Linked DNA regions of Diceros bicornis minor. The protein of the gene in region 2 purifies or fractionates together with the protein of the main gene of each other region. This does not show direct contact. Links are inferred from orthologs where the notes say so. Each region holds a gene or a part of one and is shown on either strand. Other genes may lie near its edges. The genes, in order: NBAS, BNIP1 and USE1.

Evidence for each region.
Region 1: the proteins of BNIP1 (region 2) and NBAS purify together in Homo sapiens (co-immunoprecipitation; 3 studies listed by BioGRID and IntAct, with this or other methods). This does not show direct contact. The link is inferred for Diceros bicornis minor from reciprocal best matches to the Homo sapiens genes BNIP1 and NBAS.
Region 3: the proteins of BNIP1 (region 2) and USE1 purify together in Homo sapiens (co-immunoprecipitation; 4 studies listed by BioGRID and IntAct, counting the BioPlex papers as one, with this or other methods). This does not show direct contact. The link is inferred for Diceros bicornis minor from reciprocal best matches to the Homo sapiens genes BNIP1 and USE1.

The regions. Positions count from the first base shown.
Region 1 is NC_080751.1:65,496,573-65,503,892, reverse strand, and holds the start of NBAS (NBAS subunit of NRZ tethering complex), read right to left. Parts: upstream 3,071-7,320; 5' UTR 3,054-3,070; coding exon 2,937-3,053; intron 826-2,936; coding exon 771-825; intron 1-770. UniProt on the Homo sapiens protein: Involved in Golgi-to-endoplasmic reticulum (ER) retrograde transport; the function is proposed to depend on its association in the NRZ complex which is believed to play a role in SNARE assembly at the ER. Required for normal embryonic development.
Region 2 is NC_080740.1:86,935,884-86,943,411, reverse strand, and holds the start of BNIP1 (vesicle transport protein SEC20), read right to left. Parts: upstream 3,053-7,528; 5' UTR 3,029-3,052; coding exon 2,945-3,028; intron 401-2,944; coding exon 308-400; intron 1-307. UniProt on the Homo sapiens protein: As part of a SNARE complex may be involved in endoplasmic reticulum membranes fusion and be required for the maintenance of endoplasmic reticulum organization. Also plays a role in apoptosis.
Region 3 is NC_080759.1:5,216,559-5,223,845, reverse strand, and holds the start of USE1 (vesicle transport protein USE1), read right to left. Parts: upstream 3,021-7,287; 5' UTR 2,728-3,020; coding exon 2,626-2,727; intron 2,332-2,625; coding exon 2,282-2,331; intron 2,153-2,281; coding exon 2,074-2,152; intron 1,993-2,073; coding exon 1,840-1,992; intron 1,194-1,839; coding exon 1,181-1,193; intron 732-1,180; coding exon 704-731; intron 435-703; coding exon 260-434; intron 22-259; coding exon 1-21. Other genes in the region: MYO9B (unconventional myosin-IXb), read right to left, coding at 5,135-5,550, 5,670-5,793, 6,429-6,575, 6,896-6,943.

The DNA.
Region 1 (7,320 bases), on a different chromosome or scaffold from region 2:
AACTGAATCCTCTTTATAAGTAGCTAAAATTCACTGGTATAATAAAGACGGGCTTTGGAGCAGAAACACATGCAGCCAAACTCCAAATGAATGACTTTGGGCAAGTTTCCTCATCTATAAACAGAAACTCATAACAGCACCTACCTTGCTAGTCTGGTAAAGGATAACATGAACTAATATACTTAAAGCCCTCACAACACCAGCTTAAGGCGGCTAGTGCTCAAAACTTTCTCAGATCCTGTGAGTTCTATGTCAATTTTGTCAGAAGTTAAATGAATGCCCTGGTTAATCAAATTTGTAATCTGAACAACTCTGACCGGGTGTATCTGAAATATCATGTAAACCTCTTAAAATGTCCTGTCACTGTCTTTCACCTTCAATGTCCATAGACTCTGAGACTCGCACGGGGTTTGATTTTCTTCACTTCTTCTAGAACACATCCATAATGGTTCAACTCAGGCCATACTTTAGCTCTAAGCTGCATTAAAAATGTGTATGTGTATGTATATATATGTATATGTGTGTATACATATATATACATACACACATGTGTATATGTGTGTATATATACACTCACACTCACATACGTAGATACATATCATATCTATAATTAAGATATATACATATTTATCATGCTCTAAATTAGAAGTCTGAAGAACACATTTTAAAATTCCTAAACTTTCTAAAACAATACAGTTATGAATGAAGTGGAAAATAATTATCTGCTAACTATATCAGTATATGCAGAAAAATAAATAAGCTATACTTACCTTTAATTGCTTTTGTGATGATAAAGGACGCACCATGTTTTCGGTTGCCTCTAGGCTACAATTGGAAACAAAAAACAAAAAAAAACTTTCATATGGGATTTTTCTAGTAATATTTACACAATATGTAAAGTTACATTTCTTTGCTAAAACTCAGAGTACTGGGTACAAGTCACTAGTATTTAAAAAGTACTTATGGATAAAAACAAAACAAGTAGAAGCAGGACTGGGAACAGTGGAAGTAAAAGTGAGCATGGCAGACGTACAGGCATTTGTCAGGAGGACTTTAGAAGGGAGGACGAGGACTGAAGCTGGAAACTGTTTCCAAATCAAAACACCAGTCCAAAGACAAGAGAAGTCAAGAGCAAAGACCATACTGGTTGCCAGTTCAGCACAGTCTACTTAAAACAAGTTTTGCTTGCAGGAAAAGTAATCATACGGATTACTCATCTCACGTCTTGAGGCAAATTTATTGAATATCTGTTGTCTATCCACAGAGAAAATGCTACTAACACACACTGACATATAATTGCTATATTAAATAGTTCCTTAAGTATAGACTAAACATTGTGTAGGCTAAATAATACTAGGCACTACAAATAATGAGTAAGATCTACTAATGTGTTGTTAAGAAAGGAACAATGCACATACAGTAAGTGCAGACAGATATGGCTTAAAAGCACATAAAAGTTATTTCATTCAACAAACAAACTGATCATCCACTTCACGTAAGACCCAGGTTGGTCCTGGGGAGGGATATAAAAATGAATCAGCTGTAGCTGCCCTCAAAGAGCTTGTAGTTCAACACTTGAAATCAATAGAACCAAACAAAACAAAACAAAGTGCTATGAAAATTCAATGTAAGTTGATGCTGTGCTTATTTTTTTAAAAATCAATAATATTAAGCATTCTGAAATATTATTGTAATTAACCAGTGAGTGCTAAGGGGTAGAAATGTATCCTTATCCAGCCAATAGCAGCAGCAACAGCTTTCAAGCTGCATAACCTACAAAATATTCACATTGTTCAAAACAAACAGAAAGTAATACTTGAAAAACAATAATATATGCAGATCTCTGCCAGCCTATAAAATATATTATTCAAGACAAACAGAAACTGCAGTGAGAAGGAGGTTAAAGAAAAACTACAAACAGTATAGGAGAATGAGTAGTTTTTCCAGTAAAGAAACACTCAAGAAAGACGTTGTAAAAAAGAATTCATATGGGCAGGACTCCATGATCTCTAACAAAGGTCCTTTTTGATCTTGCTGCATCCTCTGAGTCTAAAACAGTGACTGGCATATGTTAGGCACTCAATACATCTGTTGAATAAAGGTGGATTCCGGGTTGCTACTCTTCACCTCGTGCCTGGGAGGCCCTCTCTGTGGAACAATTGATAACCTCAAGGTCCACTTCAGGTTACAACCCTTCTCTAGGAGAGAAACCCACCCCGGTCAGTAGCTCGTTACTCTTCACTCCCAAGGCATTTTGCTTACACCGCTATTATAGCGCCTATTACACTAGGTTATGAGAAATGTTCACTGACTTGTCTCCCCTCTAGACTGCAAGAACCACGAGTTATGCACCTCTGTATGCCCAGCGCCTGGCACAGTATCTGACACAGATGGACACACATACACTTATTAAATGCCTGTTTATTGAAATACACAAGAACTGGCGCAATTCAGCCCCAAGTAGGAGTAAAGGTTAGATGCCATGCTCCGCGGCAGCCCGCCAGATGTTGAGACGACTGTAGGGACCTGGAAAATTCTCCCACTGCAGATGACAATCAGCCCTGGCCAGTCCTGTCGGGCGATGGGAAGGGACTACCGAAGAGTCTAAAAATGACGACCTTCTAGTCCAATGCCGTGCCTCCCCTCCAAGTAAAGGGCAGTGAAACAGAACCAGAGTGGGAAGGTACGTGTTCCAGAACCCGGGGTTGCGCCACCCGACCACCGAATTCGCAGCCCAGGAGGAATCTTGGGAACACCCCTTAGGGGACCCAGGCCCCGGCTAGCCCGCCGTGCCGTTACCAGCGTGACCACGCAAGCTGCAGAGCCCCGCTCCCCCGCCCACCCAGCTCCACTCCCCTGCGTGGTTCCCGCTACGAGGCTCTGCCCGGGCAGCATCCGCGCCAAGCTGGCCGCAGCTCTGCAGGGGCCGGGGTCACCTGTACTTCTGTCTCCGGGGGCCACTCGGTGTTGACCAACAAGTCATAGAGAATTGTCTCCTCCTCGCCCTCCGCAGCGCCTGGAATCACAGCCGGCGCTGACTCGGAGGCCGCCATGTTCGCCCGGGACCCAGCCGCTGAGAGAGTGTCACTACGGCATCCCGCAATGGACAAGCTTCCTTAGCCGCGGCCGTTTTTGATTCACTGGAAAGAGGGTGGAGTTAACTGGACGTGGAAAGGAAATGCTAGGTTAACCTTTTTATGAATAGGAAGAACAATGACTACTGCTTGTCTGGGTAACGACTGTCTGTCCCGCTGTACTCCTTGTTAATTAGTCTGCTCGAGATCAGCCAAGTCTGAGCCTCTCTTATCCAGTCGGCTTCTATAAAACAGAAATGGTAAAAGTATTGGTAAATGATAAATGGTAAAAGCATCCCTGAGATGCTGGCGTTCACTTATGTATTCGTTGTCACTTATGTATTGTACACAGAAAGAGTACAAACAGTGGTTTTTTTAAATAAACACCAAAAATTTATGCAATGCAACAGATTAAGCCAATGAAAGGTACCAGAGGAATGGTGCTATAGGAGTTCAGAAAAGGCACGGAAGTCCAGAGGGTCTGAAAGGGCTCCCTGCAGGAAGTGGAGCTTGTCCTGGGTCTTGAACAACAGGTAGAATTTGAATCAAGTGGAGAAGGTTGGGGAGAGCATTTCAAGTGGGGGCAAATGGGCTAAGCAAAGACAGTGACAGAAATATCTAGTTGAAAGAGCAGGCAGCTGGATAGAACCCAAGTAGAGAAAGGGTGTGGGGCAATAAGGTTGAAATGATAGGTTGAGGACCTCCATGGAGGGAGATAAAATGCCAGCCTTGCTTGTTCATTCATTTGTCCATTCATTCATTCAACAACTGCCTCTATGTGGGAAGCCCTGTATATAAGCAGAGCCTATTGTAACCTGATTGAATATACAGTGCACAAGAAATTAGCAGTGTCACATTCAAAAGAAACACAAATACTGAAGCTATCTTACGAGAATTATGTTGCATAATGTCCATCAGGATGCATTAGGCAATGATGCATTTAAAAGCCTCCACTAGGAAGCGTCTAATGGCTCCCATTTCTCTCAAAGCTCAGTGACCTCAAAGCAAGCCCTCCATCACCTGCCTGCACCCCCTTACTCTTTCACCTCATCTGCTGCTTCCCCCTGCTACCTTCAGCCACACTGGCTTTGCTGTTTCTGAACACACCAGACACACTTCCACTTAAGGGACTTTGCATGGGTTGTTCCCTCTGGTTGGAAGACTTCCTACCAGATATTTCTCTGGGTCTCCCCCTCATCTCCAAAGTTTTGCTCAAATGTCACCTTCTCCCTGAAGCTTTACCTGACTGCTCATTTTTAAATTTGAAACCACCTTCCCCATCTCCAGATCTCCCTTACTAGCTCTATTTTTTTTTTGCCATAACACTTTGTCATCACCTAAAATGCTGTATAATTTATGTTTTATTATATGAGTTTATTGTCTGTCCTCATTCACTAAAATGTAGGTTCTACCAGAACGGAGTGCTCTACTATGTATGTATAGATGCTATGTACATCCCTGCTACATCCCCAGAGTTTATAACAGTGCCTGGCACAGAGCAGAGGACAAAATATATATTATTTGTTGAATAAATGAAAAGTTTCCCCAAAATACATTTTTATACATTGTATCCCCAAAGTACTTCTCTTCACAGCAGCCTTGTCTTTTTATCAAACCCTCAGTTGCAGACACCAGACATCTCCTCTCCCCATCCCACCAGAGCTGACAAGTTGCACAGCTCCCGGGAGCATATCTCACATTGCAGGATGTGGAATGTGAAGAGGTAGGAACATCCTTCACTTGGAATACAGTCTTAAAGGTGGCCCCTGGAGTGGTACAGGGCCTCAATACTGCCCCCTCCCATTTCTGCACACCAAGTTTCCTTGGCTCTTTACTCCCTTCCCTATCTCATCCTTTCTCTGATAGAAATTGGCATTGCCTTCTGCTTCATCCATTCTCTTCACCACTTGCATGTGATCAGCACAACCACAGCCAGGAGGTGGCTGGCCAAGCAAGCATCTTCTCAGCTGGCATGCAAAGGGGACAACTGCAAAGACATCACCAAGAATCATCACACTATGTTAATTTCTTTATCCATCCTTACCCTTACCCCATTTACCTTAGTTTGTACCACAGAACAGGAAACAAAAGTCCATGCCTGGCTGACCTCACGGAGCTTATATTCTAAGGAAACAAAAAAGGAGCAGGCTGAAACAGCATTATTTGAAGAGTGACTATACATTTAACTTGGAGTAATTGCTGCAAGGAAAATTCTACTACCAGAGATGCAGATGGGCAGGTTGTGAAGCCTTCTTCGCCACTGTTTAAAATCCAGAAGTTCTTGGAGGAAAAGAACGTGAGATGACCAACAACAGTGAAGAAGGTGGTAAGAATATGTGTGTCATGAGAAGAGCTCTAAATGCAGAATAGCAGACACTGGGGTTGGAAAAGAAAAGGCAGAGAAGTGATCAGATTTCAAGTCAAAGTTCAGCTGAGTCAAAAGAACAAGATGATTTAAGACAGGTTGGGTGGCTTAAACCAAATTGCTAATTGGTCTTATCTGTAGTGACTATATAGTTAATTGTCCAAACTGAGACACTTTGGGGAATGAAAAGGGATGACTTTAATAACTATGCTAGGAAAACAGGCATGAAACAGGACTGTCCTGGGCAAACTGAGATGATGGTCACACTAATCTTAAACAGAAGAGTGACTGATCTAATGAAGAGACCTTGGGCATTTCATTAGGACAGCAAGAGTCTCTTCTCCATCATATTTCCCTTCTTTCTGCCCTCAGACTTACAGTGACAGCTGTCATTTTCATCTGCCCAGGCCTTTTGCTTCCTTGGAGAACTGCTCCAACTGCTCTTCCTTCACCCAAGTCATGTATTCCAGTGGGGCTGCCAATCCCCAGACTCCGCCTCCTTGATCCGGGTCTGCGCACTCAAAGAGCCCCATTCCCCTGACTTCAAGCAATGGGTTGAGAATGCTTCCCGGGGATTTGGGGTTTGTTTTTTTTTTCATGGAAGTGGAGGAAAAAACACCTTTATTTTGGATCATAGAGTTTGAAAAATACAAATTTGGGCTTGTCAGTGGCCGTTTTATTCACTATAGAGGGAAAACCTGTCTGCGATGGTAACAAAATGAAACCACACATTGAGAAAAACACAGGAGACAGAGACATCATTTGATATTAGCATGCCTGAAATAGGTGACATCTGCATGCCTCCATCTTCCCAGTTAAGTGAACCAGTGCATTCCCCTTAAACTAAAGTTAAGTTTCAATGCATTGAAACCACTCTTCTCTTGACATTTCTACCAGTGGATTTTGCAGATTACCTAATTTAGAATCTCTGCAATGTTGCTTCTGAGTTGAGTCAGTAGTTAATAGTACATTGATAGTACTATTACATTAATACATTGACAGTATTCATGGCTTACTAAGCTCTTTTGTCCTCACAGCCACTGCTGAGATGGACAGATAGAAACTCAAGAGAGAGATGCAGATCTCCATTTCCTAGATAAGGAAACTGAAACTTAGAGAAATCCAAGATCACAACAAAGCCAAAATTCAAACATAATTCTTCAGGTCTTGATCCTGTGCTTCTTTCTGCAAATACCCGCCTCTCCTTTTTGAATATTCATTCCCCAACCAAATAAAAATTCCTGCTTTCCCCTGTTTGAGGATGCCATGACTTTGGAAATGATTCCTCATGGCCCCCTACTTGCTGCAAATGCACTTTACTTTGTGCGACAACTTCCACTGGTGTAGAGTCTTATTTAACTCACCAGGAGGCGAGCCCACTTGGTTCGGTATCATTATCATGGTCATCTAACCAACTTCTTAATTTAGCTGAAGGTCCAGGTGAGGCTTGAAGACATTTTAAGTCATGAGTAAGTCATTCTAAAAGGAAAAAATTATGTTTTCCAAATAACCAATGCAAATGGTAACTCTGTGAACTGCTTCAGGAACTAAGACTGAAATAAAAATTGAGACAATCCCAAAATAGGCATAATGATAATAATAATAGCTACATTTTGTGTGTCTACTCTGCTCCAAGCACTGTACCAGATACTTTGCTATACCTTATCTCTCTGCTCCTCTCTACAGTGCTGCAAAGAAAGAGTTAATAAGAAACTGAGGCTTTAAATCACTGTGACTCAAACAAGGTTGCACACTGGTAGTGGTGAAGCTAGAATTGAAACACAGTTTTTGTGTAACGTTCAAATTATTAATAGAGAAGGTACTGTGATATATCCATTTTAATGAAAAGTAATCTGTTTTTTTATAAGCGTTTGATGAAGG
Region 2 (7,528 bases):
GTGCTAGAGAAGAGAAAGCAGTTGAAGTAGCTTCAGAGTTTTCAAGTTGAAAAATTCCAGGGACAATGGTGTCCCTGCCATCCACTTAAGACAGCTGGCAGTGTTAACTTGCTGTTAACTTGTTAACACAGCTGGCTCTGCATGTAAAAGTTCCTCATTTTGACCTGGATAGCAGGTTAGTACAGTCACCCTGGCTGTCTAAGCGTTCACTGAAGAACCTGGACAGCACGCAGGCAGAGGTGAGTGCCAGGACCCAGCCCCGTTCACTGCTGCCCATTCTCAGCATCCCAGTTTTGCAGCCACTCACCTGTATTCTGTGCCGCAACTGCTGAAACTTCTCTTTCACTTGAGTATTCAGTTCAGTGAGTGCGCTTAATGGTCCTGAACAGTCTCGAATATCCTAGGAGACATTGAAGAGATGAGAGGGTCTTTCTTAAGGCAACGAAATGAAATGACACCATCTGTACAGTGAGAGAGTTGGTGTAGACCACACCTAAGGTTGGCCTACTGACTGTAATTCATCCTAATCTTTGCTCTTTACCTCTGCAACACAAGCAAAAACATTATCATTTTCATTTTTCTCATCCTTCTTTAGATTAATTTTGAGCAGGTAATATAAAAGCATAAAAAGAAAAACAACTCTATATACAAGAGAATACTACTCAGCCATAAAAAAGGAATATTTGCCATTTGCAACAACATGGATGGACCCTTAAGGTATTATGCTAAGTGAAATAAGTCAGATGAGAAAGACAAATACCATATGATTTCACTCATATGTGGAATCTAAAAAATAAAACAGGGCCGGCCCCGTGGCTTAGTGGTTAAGAGTGCACGCTCTGCTGCTGGCGGCCTGGGTTCGGATCCCGGGCACGCACCAACGCGCCACTTCTCCCGCCATGCTGAGGCCGAGTCCCACATATAGCAACTAGAAGGATGTGCAACTATGACATACAACTATCTACTGGTGCTTTGGGGGAAAAAATAAATAAATAAATAAAATTTAAAAAAATTAAAAAAAATAAAACAAACACACAAAACAAAAACAAACTCATAGATACAGAGAACAGACTGGTGGTACCAGAGGGGAAGGGGGTTGGGGGACAGGCGCAATGGGGGGACAGGATCAACTGTATAGTGATGGATGGTAACTAGACTTACGGTGGTGATCACTTTGTAGTGTATACAAATATCAAATTATAATGTTGTATACTTGAAACTTTTATAATGTTATATACCAATTTTACCTCAAAAAAAGAAAAAAAGAAGGGAAGAAACACAATTCTGTCTTGACTTACGAGTTCCTAAAGTTTAACAAAACACCACCTGGCCAGTATGAAAGGCTTAAAGCAGCTTGTGTGTCCAACAAGAATGGACACCCAAAAGTGATCCTACAACTTTAGATTTTTCCAACTGGAAAACCAGGATGCTAAATTCCTGGCCTAATATGACAAGACTAACATCTTATCTGATCTTTCAAACCACATATTATAAATCACAGTGTTTACAGACATGTTCAATTTAGAATATGATTTAGAATTTGTTTCTGGACATTCAGAATTACTAGGGCCAGGATTTAGAGCAGGCTCTGGAGCTAAACTATGTGGATTCAAATCCTGGCTGAAGCAACTTATTAGCTGTGAAACCTTGAAAAAGTCATTTGAGTTCTCTGAGCCTGAGTTTCCTCATCACAACATTACCTAGCTCACAGACCACGGATGTATGTGAAGTGCTTAGCAGAGGAGCTGGAACAAAGTAAGAGTACAATAAATCTAGCTATGATCAATCTTTCTCATTAGCAATCACGAGAGCCCAAATGTTAGAGAGTACAAAAGGGGATTTAAGCAATTTAGATTATGTGAAAAAGTGATTTCATTTGTATAAATCCTAAATTTATTTTACTAGAATTGGCCCAGAAGTTTTGTAGTTTATACATGGGAGACATGAAGTTCAAGAAGTTAAAATGTTTGCATCAAGTGTCCTCACTTGTTCTCTGGCTCACTCGTAAATCACACTTCCTTGCACCCTACGATGAACCACTTATTTGGTTTATTTTGCGTCTGGTTTCCCTGAGGAGTCCTACTTTCTTTCGCTTTTTGTCGAAGCTAGTTGCAAACTCTGAGTCTACATCCAATGCTTAGTAACATTTGTTGGAAATGGAAACGCTTTCCCTTAAACCAAGCTTTAAGACTCTTGGTTTCTTTTTGCTAAACTCAAGGAACCATTTCTCCATTCCTACCTCTTGCCTGTGTCAACTGGTTTATTGCACTACTGCCTTCCACCCTTAAATGGCCTAAGGCAACGCACCTCAATTACCCTATTAAACCGAGGAGTAGAGGCTCTCTAAGTCCCTTCTCTAGGCTGACTTTCACTATCTGCCTTCTGACCTAGGCCTTGGCAGTCTACGTGATTTCCTCATTTCAAAATCCCCACTACGGTCCAGGTTACGTTCATTTCCCCGGTGCTTCCAGCGCCAAGTAGCCTTGGGTGCCACGAAGCACGGGACCAGCGGAGCTGGCCAGCAGGGGGCGGGGCTCATGGTCCCAGGAGGCTACCAGATGATGGAGAGGGCGGTGTCAGAAAACAGGGCCAAGCAGGGTGACAGGTATGTTGTGAGGCGCTCGGGGGCGAGGCGACGATCAGGGGTATGTGTGGGAGGGACCAAACGGGGCCACAGGGGAAGCCTGGTCAGGGGCGGGGGACCCGGGGGTGTCCCGGAAGAGGGCGAGCCGACAGCACTGGATGGAGGATCAAGGCCAACGGTCAAGGGGACGGGACTCAAGCGTAACAACAAGGGGATAGCCGGCCATGGCGTGGGGCCAGCGACCTCGGAGACTTGACCAAGCGGGGAGAGCTAGGGAGTGAGACCACCGAGCTCACAGAAGGCCAGCGGAGCTTGGACTTAGGGACGCTGGGGCCCGGCAGCGGTCTCGGGAATTAGTACCTGGATAAGCGCCTTCACCTCCAGGTCGAATTTGACAATTTCTTGGTTGCAGATCCGGACGTGGACATCTTGGGGAGCCGCCATGTTGGGGACGCCAGCTACGGGCAGCGACAGTGCCCAAGTGCAAACGCGTTCTCGCGCCCCGGCCTTCCCTCCCCGCCCGGTCTCACGGCAGCGCCCCCTAGAGCCCGGTCTGGGGCGTGCGAGGGTGCCGCGCTCGGTGCTGGGGACTTTCCCTGACACGTCGGGGACTCAGCCTCTCCTCTTGGCGTGATCCTAGTAAAACGCAGAGGAAGGGAAGAGGGAATCGAAGAGCGTTTTAACAGCGTTTAACGTTCCCCATCTTCCGCCTATCAGCCATTCTAATGACTACATATTTTTTACATGGGCGGGGGAAAGGCTGGAAGAAAAGTATCAATTGGGATATTTCTGGAAGGTGGAATTAACAATTTTTTGTATTTCTTGAAACTTCCTTGTGTTTTCATATCTTCTACAGTGACTATGAATTGTGGAGTAAAAGAAAAAATGGTAAACGTTGTTATTATTACTTTTTTTAGTGTCTGGAATTCAAGGCAGGCCACTAGTCCAACACATGGTCCGAGGGATCTTTCTAAAACGCGTAACTAATCAAGTCACCTCCCAGCTTGGACCCCTTCTATGGCTCCTGGCGGTTCCCTTTTGTGTACAACTGGATTTATTAAGTCTACATCACCCGAGTAGTTTTGGTGGATTAATGTAGTTTTGATGGAAATAATTAAGAGCAGACCCTCAACAAATGGAGGCTCTTTCATTTTACTTTTATTATTAAATAGTCCCAAGTTTCTTAGCTGGTCCTCAAGGCCATCAGCCACCTCACCCAGCCCCACCTCCTCCCGAGATCCTTCAAGCTCTTTTTGGATATGTAGCCTTGGAATGTGCTGTTCCCTGTTCTTGAATGCTTTTCCCCACTTGCCCCCAGCCCCATTCACTTTTGTTCACTTCAGTTCAGCAAGCATAGATTGTGACACCCTGAGGGCCTAGCTGTGTTTCTTTTAATCCGCACAACCACGCTTGAAATAGGTGATACTCCAGTTTTACAGACTGGGAGATGGACTAAGAGTAGATCAAAACAAAGCAAAACCGGACATCCCTGCCCCACGGTACCCAACTTGAAAGTGGCAGTGCCTTGCCTGAAAGCCACATCTTCCCTTAAGAACCAAATATGGCCTTTGGGTAGTGTACAAGGGGGGCTGTGTGCTCGCCTATCTGTGTTCCTCCAGCACGCCGCACACCCTCCCTGAAGGTGTTCATCACCCCACTGCACCTAATAGAGAGGCGGTGTATTGCAGGCTTGGGCGTCTGCCTTGGCTTGAATCCTGCTCCACAACCCACTTCACATCTCTGTGCCTCAGTCTCCTCAGAGGCTGACTGGGGGTAATCACTGGCTTGGTGGGAGGGTGAAATGAGGTAATACATGAAAAGCACCAAGCACAGTGTAGTAATGTGGCATGTGGTAAGAGCTCTGTGTGCATTAGCTGCCATTATTATATTACTAACTGACATTTTTGGAGCACTTCCTATGTGCCAGGCACTTTATACTAAATGCTTTATGTGTATCATCTAATTCTCACAACAACTCTATGAGGTAGAATTAACCACATTTTACACGAGGAAACAGGCACAGAGAGAACAATGAGTTGCCCAATGCAAATGGAATTGCTAGGTCAAAGGATATGTGCATTTTAAATTTCTGATATATGTTACCAAATTGCTCTTCGTAGAGGTTATATCAGTTTACACTCCCACCAGCAATGTGGTATAAATGCCTACTTCCCCAGGGCCTCACCAACACAGTGTGTTAAACGCTGGGATTTTTGCCAGTCTGATTAAGTGAAAAATGCCATCTCTTAATTTGCATTTCTCTTATCATGAACAAGCTTGAGAGGTATTTGTATTTACTCTATTGTCTGCTCATTTCTCTATTGGGTTGTTGGTCTTTTTCACATCAGTTTCTAGGAGCTCTTTATATATTAGGAGGATTAGCCCTTGGAGATGAGCTTTTTCCCTAGTCTATAAAATTTTGACTTAGCGCATTTAATTTTTGGGAGGAGTTCTATAATTATGTTTATTTCCAATGTTTGTTATCACCAGATCTGTGTTTCCTATTATTTTTATAAGAAGATTATTTAGCTCTCTTTGTATTATTGGTTTTTCTTATGGCATATGGTAGCCAAAGTTGTATGAGAGTTAAAGGAAAATTCCTAAGAAACTGTATAAGCCTTTAGATTGCTTCTTACTTGGGACAATACATTTTTCTAGTTCTTACCAAGAATAACAACTTCCACTTTTCTTTTAAACTGCACTTTTTTTTTTTTTTTTTTTTTGGTGAGGAAGATCAGCCCTGAGCTAATATCCACGCTAATCCTCCTCTTTTTGCTGAGGAAGACCGGCTCTGAGCTAACATCTATTGCCAATCCTCCTCCTTTTTTCTTCCCCAAAGCCCCAGTAGATAGTTGCATGTCATAGCTGCACATCCTTCTAGTTGCTGCATGTGGGACGCAGCCTCAGCATGGCCAGAGAAGCGGTGCGTCGGTGCGCGCCCGGGATCCGAACCCCGGCCGCCAGTAGCGGAGCGCACGCACTTAACCGCTAAGCCACGGGGCCGGCCCTAAACTGCACTTTTGACCTTATTTTTTTTTTATGGTATATAAACAATAATTTATAAACATGATGTAAAAACCCATCGTGTTTTCTTAGACTTTTGATATTATTTGATATGGTACAAACTTTATTAAATCAAGATTCAAGACCTAAAAAAAAAAAAAAATTTTTTTTGACTTAGCTTATGGTGTTTTTTGGCCTTAAAGAAGTTTTAAGTTTTTTATTTTTGTTTAACATAGAATTTATCAATCTTCATTTATGACTCCTGGATTTGGGATCCAAGTTAGAAAGGCCTTCCTCACACTGTAGGGGTTTAAAGGAATTGCCCACATTTCCTTCTAGTGTTTTTACGGTTTTTTTTTTTTTTTTAAACATTTAGATCTTTACCCATTTTGAAATATATGTTGGCTTATGGGGTGAGGTATAGAGCTAACTTTACTCTTTCCAGAGTGTTACCCAGTTGTTCCAACACTATTTCCTGAAGAATCCATCTTTTTCTCACTGATTCTGGATGCCTCATTTACCATACTGAACTCTTATGTTTGAATTTATTTCTAGACTTTCCATTCTGTTCTATTGGCCTGTCTATTCACTCATGCACCAAAATGACACTTTTAATTATTATAGTTTTATGTGTTTTAATAGGTTAACATGAACACTGCTTTTCTTTTTTTATTCCCCAGCATCTTGCAGCTATTATTTTTTTCCCCAGGTGAACTTTTTTTTTTAACCCCCTGGTATGTTTTAAGATGGCATTAAATTTTTTAACTTAGGAGGACTGACAACTTTATGTCATTGACTGCTCCTGTTCAAAAACTTGGTCTGTCTTTCCATTTGTTCAAGTCTTCTTCTGTGTCCTTCATAATATTTTAAAGTTTTCTTTATCTAGGCCTTGTACATTTTCTGTTAAGTTCATTCCTGGTGATGTTTTAAGACTAAAACCTTTTAAAGAAACCAAGTTTGACGTTTTTCAGGTCACTCAACTGTTTTGGATCCTCAAATAGAAGCTCCCTATTTAGGACAGGAAGAAGCCCAAAGTCTGCAGGCAGCAGATCTGCCCACATGACCTTGGGCCCCTTTCACATCAGGCTTCTTGCTGGAAACTCCTACGCAATCAACAGTCCCCAATTGCCTCTCAATGCAGCAATTAAAGAAAAGATAGCTCCCTTTTTCTCCACCCTTCAACACACTCTCTTCTAACAGAGCCCCAATTCTAAGCCCTTAAGCTAGAGGCCATCTTTGAGTGATAGACATGCAATTTGGTGACCCACATCCCCAATTACTGACTACTGCCAACGCTGTTTTGCTCCCATCATCTTTATCCACTGATCCTGAGATCAGCTTTTGGTTACTACATCTGCTAGGTTTTGGCTTTAGTTCTGATTTTCAGATTCTAAACCCATTATTTTCCTCCTATATTGACATCCAACCAAATCGCCTGTGACTTGGCCTGGTCCCTTAGAGATGAGTAAGAATCGTCTCTGAGTGCGGCAAGCAGACTGGAATTTAAATTAGAGTTGTCTATCACATAAGCTGGGTCTGGGGTGAGTGGCCTCATCTGAGTCTCATCTGACTCTTCTGTAAAGTGGACATGACTGCTTACCTCACTGCGCCACTGAGAGCAGCAGCTGAGTTCCCTGATGGGAGAGCACCTAGCAGGGGCTTAATGAATGCCACCCTAGCCTTCTAGACTTTCTAATGCCCTCTTCCTATTCTGAACCTTTCAGCTGGGATATTAAAGTATTTCCCAACTAATGTCTTTCTTTCTGGCCAACTAGCTCTCCTGGTTCTGAAATCACTGTTGGTGAGGAGGGACAACTGAATGACCCACCTAACTGGGTGCTACCCACAGAAGGTTTAGTTTCCTAAGGACTATACTGCCCTGGCTCACCCAGCTCCTTAAAGTTCCCAGACCATGACAGAGGCCCCTATGAGGAGTGGTCT
Region 3 (7,287 bases), on a different chromosome or scaffold from region 2:
CTTGAGTGAGTGCGACAGGGTCTGCAGGTGAGGTGGGGAGAGCATCAACAGGACTGGGGCCAAGTGTGGCCTCTCCCTACCACCCTGCAGCAAGTCTGCACCTCTCGGCCCTTGTTGGTGCTGTTTCCTCTGCTGAGAATGCCATTCTTGCTTTCTACCAAACTCCAGCCAGCCAAGCCCCAGCCACAATGCCCCTCTGCTGGGAAACCTTCTCTGATGCCCCAGGACAGAGGCTGCAAAGCTCCCACACTCCTCACACCTGGTTGTCCTTCTTGATGACACTCTGGGCGGCCAGTGTGTTGGTCTTGAGGCTCCGGGCCAGGCCTAGCATCTCCTCTGCCAGCTTCTCCTGGAGGTCCTGGTGTCGCTGCAGGATGAGGTCTAACTCGGCCGCCGACTGCTTTTCATTTCCTGGCCTGGGCCCTGCCACCCCACTGACCCCACACATGGGTGGGCAGGTGGGCACGAGGTGGGGTGGGGGAGGGGAAGAGACCAACACGTTCCCAGGGAGCCCAGAGGCTATAGCTCCGGCCACTGCCCTGCTTGGGGCTCAGTTACCCCTTCTTTGCTCTGGCTTCTGGGAACAGCACCCCCAGAAGTGGCTTCTGATGGGCGGTTTAGATGCTCATGGTGGCGCCTCAGGGGCCCAAGGCTCGTCCAGCCCCCCGGCCCCCAGTGCTGCCCAAGGGCAGAGGACACTCACCTTCTCTTCCGCACGTCCAGCTCGGGCTCTGCAGGGAAACAGGCCCGGCAGAAACGAGAGCGGGTTGGTTTCCTGTTGACCAGCCTCCTGGCCACTGCCCGTCACAGGCCTGCCACTCACAATGCCCTTTCCAGTCCTGTCTGCTGCCTGCTGGGCTCCTGACCATGCCTCAAAGCTCGAGCTCAAACGCGCTCTCTTCTAGGGGGTTCTCCTCACCCCCAGCTGGGCTCCCCCGGCCCCAGGTCCCTCCCTGCAGCCTAACTTTGGCCCGTGGGCTGGGAGTTTCCAGCTTTGCTTCCTCTGGGGGCCACCTCCTCTGTCCTAGCCCCCCCTCTAGGCATAACTCAGTAACACCCCCAGGGACACTCTGCCTGGGCTGTGGGAGTGAGGCCAGGCACCAGGGATGGGGGCAGCAAGGACACATGTCTGGTCCCAGGCAGCTGGGCCTCAAGTCCTGTTCTGCTCAGGCCGACTCACCTCCAGAAGAGTCCTGTGGCAAAAAGGGAGAGCGTGAAGTCACCCACTTTGTCATGCCCCTAAACCTGTCCTTTCTGCTCTCAGACACTCCCCACCCATAGTCAGAGCCCTGGGGAAGTCTCATGACCTCTGAGCCTGTTTTTTAGTCTATAAATCGGTAACAACAGCTCCTGTTGTATAATTTTATTTATTTATTTATTTTGTCCCCCAAAGCCCCAGTAGATAGTTGTATGTCATAGTTGCACATCCTCCTAGTTGCTGTATGTGGGACGCGGCCTCAGCATGGCAGGAGAAGCGGTACGTTGGTGTGCGCCCGGGATCCGAACCCGGGCTGCCAGTAGCAGAGCGCGAGCACTTAACCGCTAAGCCACCGGGCTGGTCCAACAGCTCCTGTTGTGAAGGGTTTACCTGATCCACGTAAAGTGCTCAGAAAGACACTTATCCTGTTTTACAGATGAAAACACTCGTCGTAACCGGACACGTCATTTTTGCCTTGTACCCGACTCCTGTTCATTTATCAAGCCCTGATGGCCCAGGGCGGAGGCTATTGGGCTCCTTAGGGTCCCTGCACCTGACAGTATTTGTTGTTCTGGCCAGCCCCAGGCCCTGAACTCCTGTCGCTGACCAAAGGGCCCTCAGGGACCAGGAGAGTGTCCTACCGCACCCAGCAGCTCATCCCGCATCTCGCTGGTGTACCGGGCCCGTGACTGCAGATGCACTGTCTTCGTGGCAGGTATCCGCTCCCGGGCTGTGGTGGGCACGCGGCCAGGAGCCAGGAACTGGTTGGCTAGTGCCTTGTCGGAGGAGGAGGTCTGAAGAAGAGGGATGAGGGGTCACCAGAGGGGCAGGTCCTGGGGGTGAGGAGGGCTGAGGAGGCGGCCGTCCCCGCTCACCAGCTTCTCTGCCTGCAGCATCCCCTTCAGAAAATCCACCTTGCGGGCATACTCATTGATCACCTCGGAGACCGGTTTGCTAGAAGGCGAGAAGAGGACAAAGAAAACCTGCCCACGGTCCCAGTTCAGGGAAGGGTCCAGCAGGAACCGGAGCCCAGGGCTCTACCCCGACCCCGGATTTGAAACCCCAGTGGCCGCCGGCACTCACCTCGCCTGGGCTTTCAAGGCCTGCAGCATGTCCTCGAGGGCTCCCACGTACTGGGGAGAGACAGCGCAGCGTCAGCCCGGTCCCACACCCCCACTTCTTCCCATCCTGCTCAAAGGGGCCAGAGCCAGCAAGGGGCGGGGCTCGGAAGTGGGAGGGGCCAAGCGTCAAGGAGGCGCGGCCAGCGGAACCCCAGAGACGGGAGCTGCAGGTGGACGTAGCGGCGCCGACCGGAAGGGGCGTGGCCAGGGTGGCTGTTGGGGCAGGGGAGTCGGAACCGGTGGCCGCCAGCTCCGGGCCCACTGTCCCGGAGTCAGGCTCTACGCTGCCCCGCGGGCTTCTCCCACCTTCTCCAGACGCCACTCGTCCGGGTCCCTCTTCTCCGCTGCCATCGCCTCGCAGCGGCACAGCAGCCGCACCAAGTTGAGCTCCAGCCTCGACGCTGCCATCACCCCCACGGTGCTACCTCGCCCCTTCCGCCGGCGCCATCTTAAGAGATGGCGGAAGTGCCTTCATTTGGCTTCCTTCCGGTTGGATGAGCTCAGCTCGCTCGCCGTTCCATCTTTCTTTGGGGTGGCAATAATATTTTATTTCAAGGAGAGGCGCCATCCTCGTCCATAGTTACTCAGGGCTGAATCGCCTGCTTTTCCTCCAGAGCATCTTAACCCTCAGGAATGGTTGAAAGGACCAGGTCCTGCGGTTTCAGGCCCACGTACAACGTGTCCTTTGCTCATTCCTTTCCCCCTGCTCAAAGTGCCTCCCCCACATCCACTGCTGCCTGGATTCTTCCCACACTGAGGTTTTGCGCATCCGGCCAGCCTTCCCCGACTTCTTCCGGGGGAGAGGCCCTGGGCTGGCTTAGGGGCCCATCCAATCTTCTGCGGTTGTGAGCTTCCGGGCGCCAGACTCCGTCCCCCGCTGTTTCTGGGCCTGTTTCCTCCCTTGGGGAATGGGGAGTGGGACAGTGCCTGTCTCAAGGGGCACACGAACTAGCCCTGCGAGCAGGAGGCGGGGCCGGGTCACCCCTAACGTTCAGACCCCCGTGAAGAGAAGCCAGTTCCAGCCCACCCAGGTGCCCAGGAAGCCGAGGCCAGTCCCACGAGCCCCGCTCCTGGAGTGGACGCGGTGAGGATGGAGGCTTCACGGGATCGGAGCCTGGCATGCAGCCCTCAGGTCACCGGTGTCCTGGTCACACTGGTGTGCCTAATGTCCTCGCAAAGTACCACGGAGGAGGCCAAACCCAGGATGGATAAAGGGGGCTCCAGAGGCAGATGGGCAGGGTCTGAACCCCAGCCCCACCCCACCGCACCTGTGTGGTCTTGGACAAGCCCCCAACCCTCTGGCATGTGCCGTCTGGACTCAAGTTCTTCACGGTCCCCTGACCCCACCCTCACAGGCCCCACCCGCGAGCCACGTCCCCCACCTGCCCATCTGATCGCAGCCTGGGAGCTCATCTGCGGCTGATGTGTGGGGGCCTCTGGCTCTGCCGGCCCACCAGGAACAGACTCCCCCCCTGGCCCATGGCCCTGCACCTGACGCTTACGCCCCAGCTGAGGAGAGGCTGGTGCTGAAACAGGGCGACAGGAGGCAGCCCCCAGGACAGCAGGCTCCCCTCACTGAATGCCACTCTGCAGGAGCTGCCCTCTCCCCAGATGTCCAGGTCAAGCACCTCCACAAGCCCACCTGCCCAGGTGAGGAGCACGTGGGAGATCCCAACAGCAGCATTTGCTGAGGATCAAGGCAGGTTCTTCCAGACAAGGGGCACAACCCCCTGCCCTGCACCCCTCTTGGCAGAGGCTGCAGGGTGCCCCCACCGAAGCCCCACTCCTCCAACCAGGAGTGTTTTGAGCAGGAGCCACACACAAATCTCTCAGGCGCTTTGTCTTTATTTCACACGGCTCTGGGTGCCTCTTGTCCCAGACCTGTGGTCATGTGTCCAGGGGATACATGTGTCCTGGGGAGTGGGCCAAACCTGAGGGCATCCCTCTGGAGATCCCCAGGCTGCCACTGTTGACCTGAGGGGGACAACACAGGCCTTGCCCTCCCCGCCGGTGAGCGGTCCTGAGTCGCTGGCTCCTGTTCTGCCACACGGTGGAGGTGGGGGGGGTGGGGGCAGTGCCAAGGGTGCCCTCCTCCAGCCTCTGGAGTCCAGGATGGGCAGAGGATGACGGCCACATTGGAGCCTCCCTGGGACGTGAGGTCTGTGGTGCCCCGGGTGGAGGCTGCTCCCCCCCGCTTTGTGTCCTGGCTCAGCCAACAGCCTTGATCCCCACGGAGGGCTCTGGCGCTCCCTCAAATGCACCCCGGCCAGAGGACGAGTCCAAGAGAGAGAAAGGCGGTCATGCGGCCCGAGTGTCTAAACCCCTCGTGCAGGGTCCTGGCCCTGGACCGCCCAGAGCGCTCCCAGCGCAGGGCTGAGCCTCTGAAGCGTGGCGGCTGCGTGGGCTTAGCTTTGAAGACTGATGTCCAGGTTATAAAGGAGATGCAGCGCGTTAATATAAAAGGTCGTACAGACACATATAAAAAACAATTTGGTCTTCCGTTAAGGCTGTTACAGTTTAAAGTTATGTAAACCACGCACAAAAAAACAGTTACTGTAAAAAATTACAAAATGGGAGGTGGGAGATGCTAGGTGGCCCGCCGTGATTCCGTGCTCTGGGTGGGCGCGATTGCGCAGCGTGGAGGCTCAGCGAGGGCGGCCCAGCCTCAGCTGGCCTCTCCCGGCCTCGACCCTGCACTGGGAGCCGTTGCTCCCCCCCACATCGCTCTTGCAGCTTTTCATTCCGGATCCTTCTCGGCGAGCTGAATGCTGGCTCTGGGCTGTCCTCGGACATGTGGACAGACGGCTGTGGGCCCTCAGCCGTTGGCCTGGCCCGAGGTGGGGGGCAGGCAGTAGGTGGGAGGGTCCGAGTACCTTCGCTTGGCCCCAGGTGGCCGGTCGTCCTTGTCCACGGGCTCCTGAGCACCCCTCGCGGGCAGGTGAGCGCAGGGCGTGATATACACAGAGTGTACCTGGTCCGGGCGGCGGGCGGGTGGCTCTCGGCGTCTCACCGGGGCAGCAGCCTCCTGGGGCCCCGGCGCCCGGCTGGGAAGGTGGGAGGGCAGGCCAGGTGGGAGCTTGATGTTCGCCGTGGGCATGATGGGGGTCCGCCGGGGCGTCTTCACTCTGACCGTCATGAAGGACGACGGCCTTCGTCGCGGAGGGGCGGCCGCCGTGGGGAGGGGGCTCGGGGTGGGTACACTGGGGCAGGGGAGAGCAGGCGCAGGGGGCCCTTTTGAGAGACAGATGGCAGGGTTACTGCAGCTTCAGGGCCGCCACATGGTCCCTCGCCCCGGGGCCGGCGGTGGTGGACACGGGAAGGAAAAAAGCAGACGCTACCTTAATACTGACCTTCCGAGGCCCCCCGCCCAGCCCGCTCCTCCAACAGGCTCTCGGTGCTGGCCGACGTCTCCGAGTCCAGGTTCTCCTCATCGGAGCCCCGCGGGTCCAGCTCCGGCAGCCGGTAGGTGATGTCCTCCCTGGGGAGGAGGTCACAGTGTCCGAGGCTGTTCCCATGGCGAAAGACCACCCCACGGAAAGTGCCAGGCTGGTAGGGTACAGAGCAGGCCGTCCTGGTCCTGGATGGTACTCCCTGCCCCCAGCACCCCACTTCCACCCCCAAAGCACACCTGGCCCAAATCACCCCGGCCCTGTGAAGCTGACGGGAAGAAGGTGTCCGGCTGCTGAGGGAAGCCAGGCACCTGGGCCAGGACTGAGCTGGTGAGGAGCTTCTGCCTCAGGACCTTTGCACGTGTTTCCCTCCACCTGCATTGCCCTCCCCTGTTCCTAAGACTAGGGTGACGGGGCGGCCTGGGTCACTCCTATTCTCTTGGCAGCATTTTTAATAACACCCCCCTTCACATCTTGACTGGACAACAAATTAGTCACCCTAACTAAGGCCAACTTCTGGACAAAGTCTGGGCATCACCCCTCTGTCGCCTCAGCTCTCCCACGGTGTGGGTCACCGTGGTTCCCTGTGGTCAAGCATGGGGTTTCAGGACAGCGGCACCCGTTGAAGTGGGTCCTGGACGATGCGAGGAGCCTAGCCTGGCAGCCTCTAAGGGCCAGGCTCCCTGTGGTGGAGGGCGCTGGAAGGGGATGGAGGAACACTTGCTTCTCTTCCTTGATGGACTGGATCCGCTCCATGAGCATCTCCTTCTCGCGGTCCTCGTCGCCACCGGCCACCTCCTCCTCTGGCAGCACGTCCAGCTCCTCCAGGCCGCCGCTGCTACTCACCCGGGCCTTGGGGCTCTTGTTCTGCAACAGAGAAGCAGCAGGTCTGGCCGGCCCCCTGGGCTGGCAGAGAGGGCGGTGTGAGCGGCCTGGGAGATTAGTTCTGACGTGGACAGTGGGCTTAGTGAGGCTTCTCCAGGGTCACGCGGGGAGGGGGTGGCCGGCGCTCTGCTGGTTAGTCGTCCTTCTCACACAGGTGGTCAGCAGGCACAGGCCTCCCCCAGCATGCACTTCGGAAAGGTCAGGACACACTAGGTCTATCCTACAAGGGCCCTGGGCCAAGGGGAACCCCAGCATGCACCGCTGGGGGAGACATGCAGGGCGGCTGCTAAGCGTGTACATACCAGCATCGCCTCATAGGGAGACGAAAACCCCAGTTTGAGAGGCCATGGCTGGGGGAGAGATGAACAGAGGGTGACCACTGGGGGCCACTGACCCTGACAAAGGTGTGCGTCAAGGACACCGGGCCACATCTGACCGCAGGGACAAAGATAAGGGTCCTCCCACAGTAGCCCAGGACCCGCCCCCACCCGCTCCCCCACCCCCCACTCCCTAGTGTGGAGCCACTTCTGCTGTGGGAACGTTTCCTTGTGGGCGGGGGCCCAGGTCAGCAAGGGATGGAGCTGAAGAATGACCCGAACCACTGCCAAGAGAGTGACAGGTCGCCCGCTGCCCTCTGAGAGGGGCGTTTGCCTGAGGCTGGGAATGGGCCTCTAACCCTGCTGCCTTGAGGCCC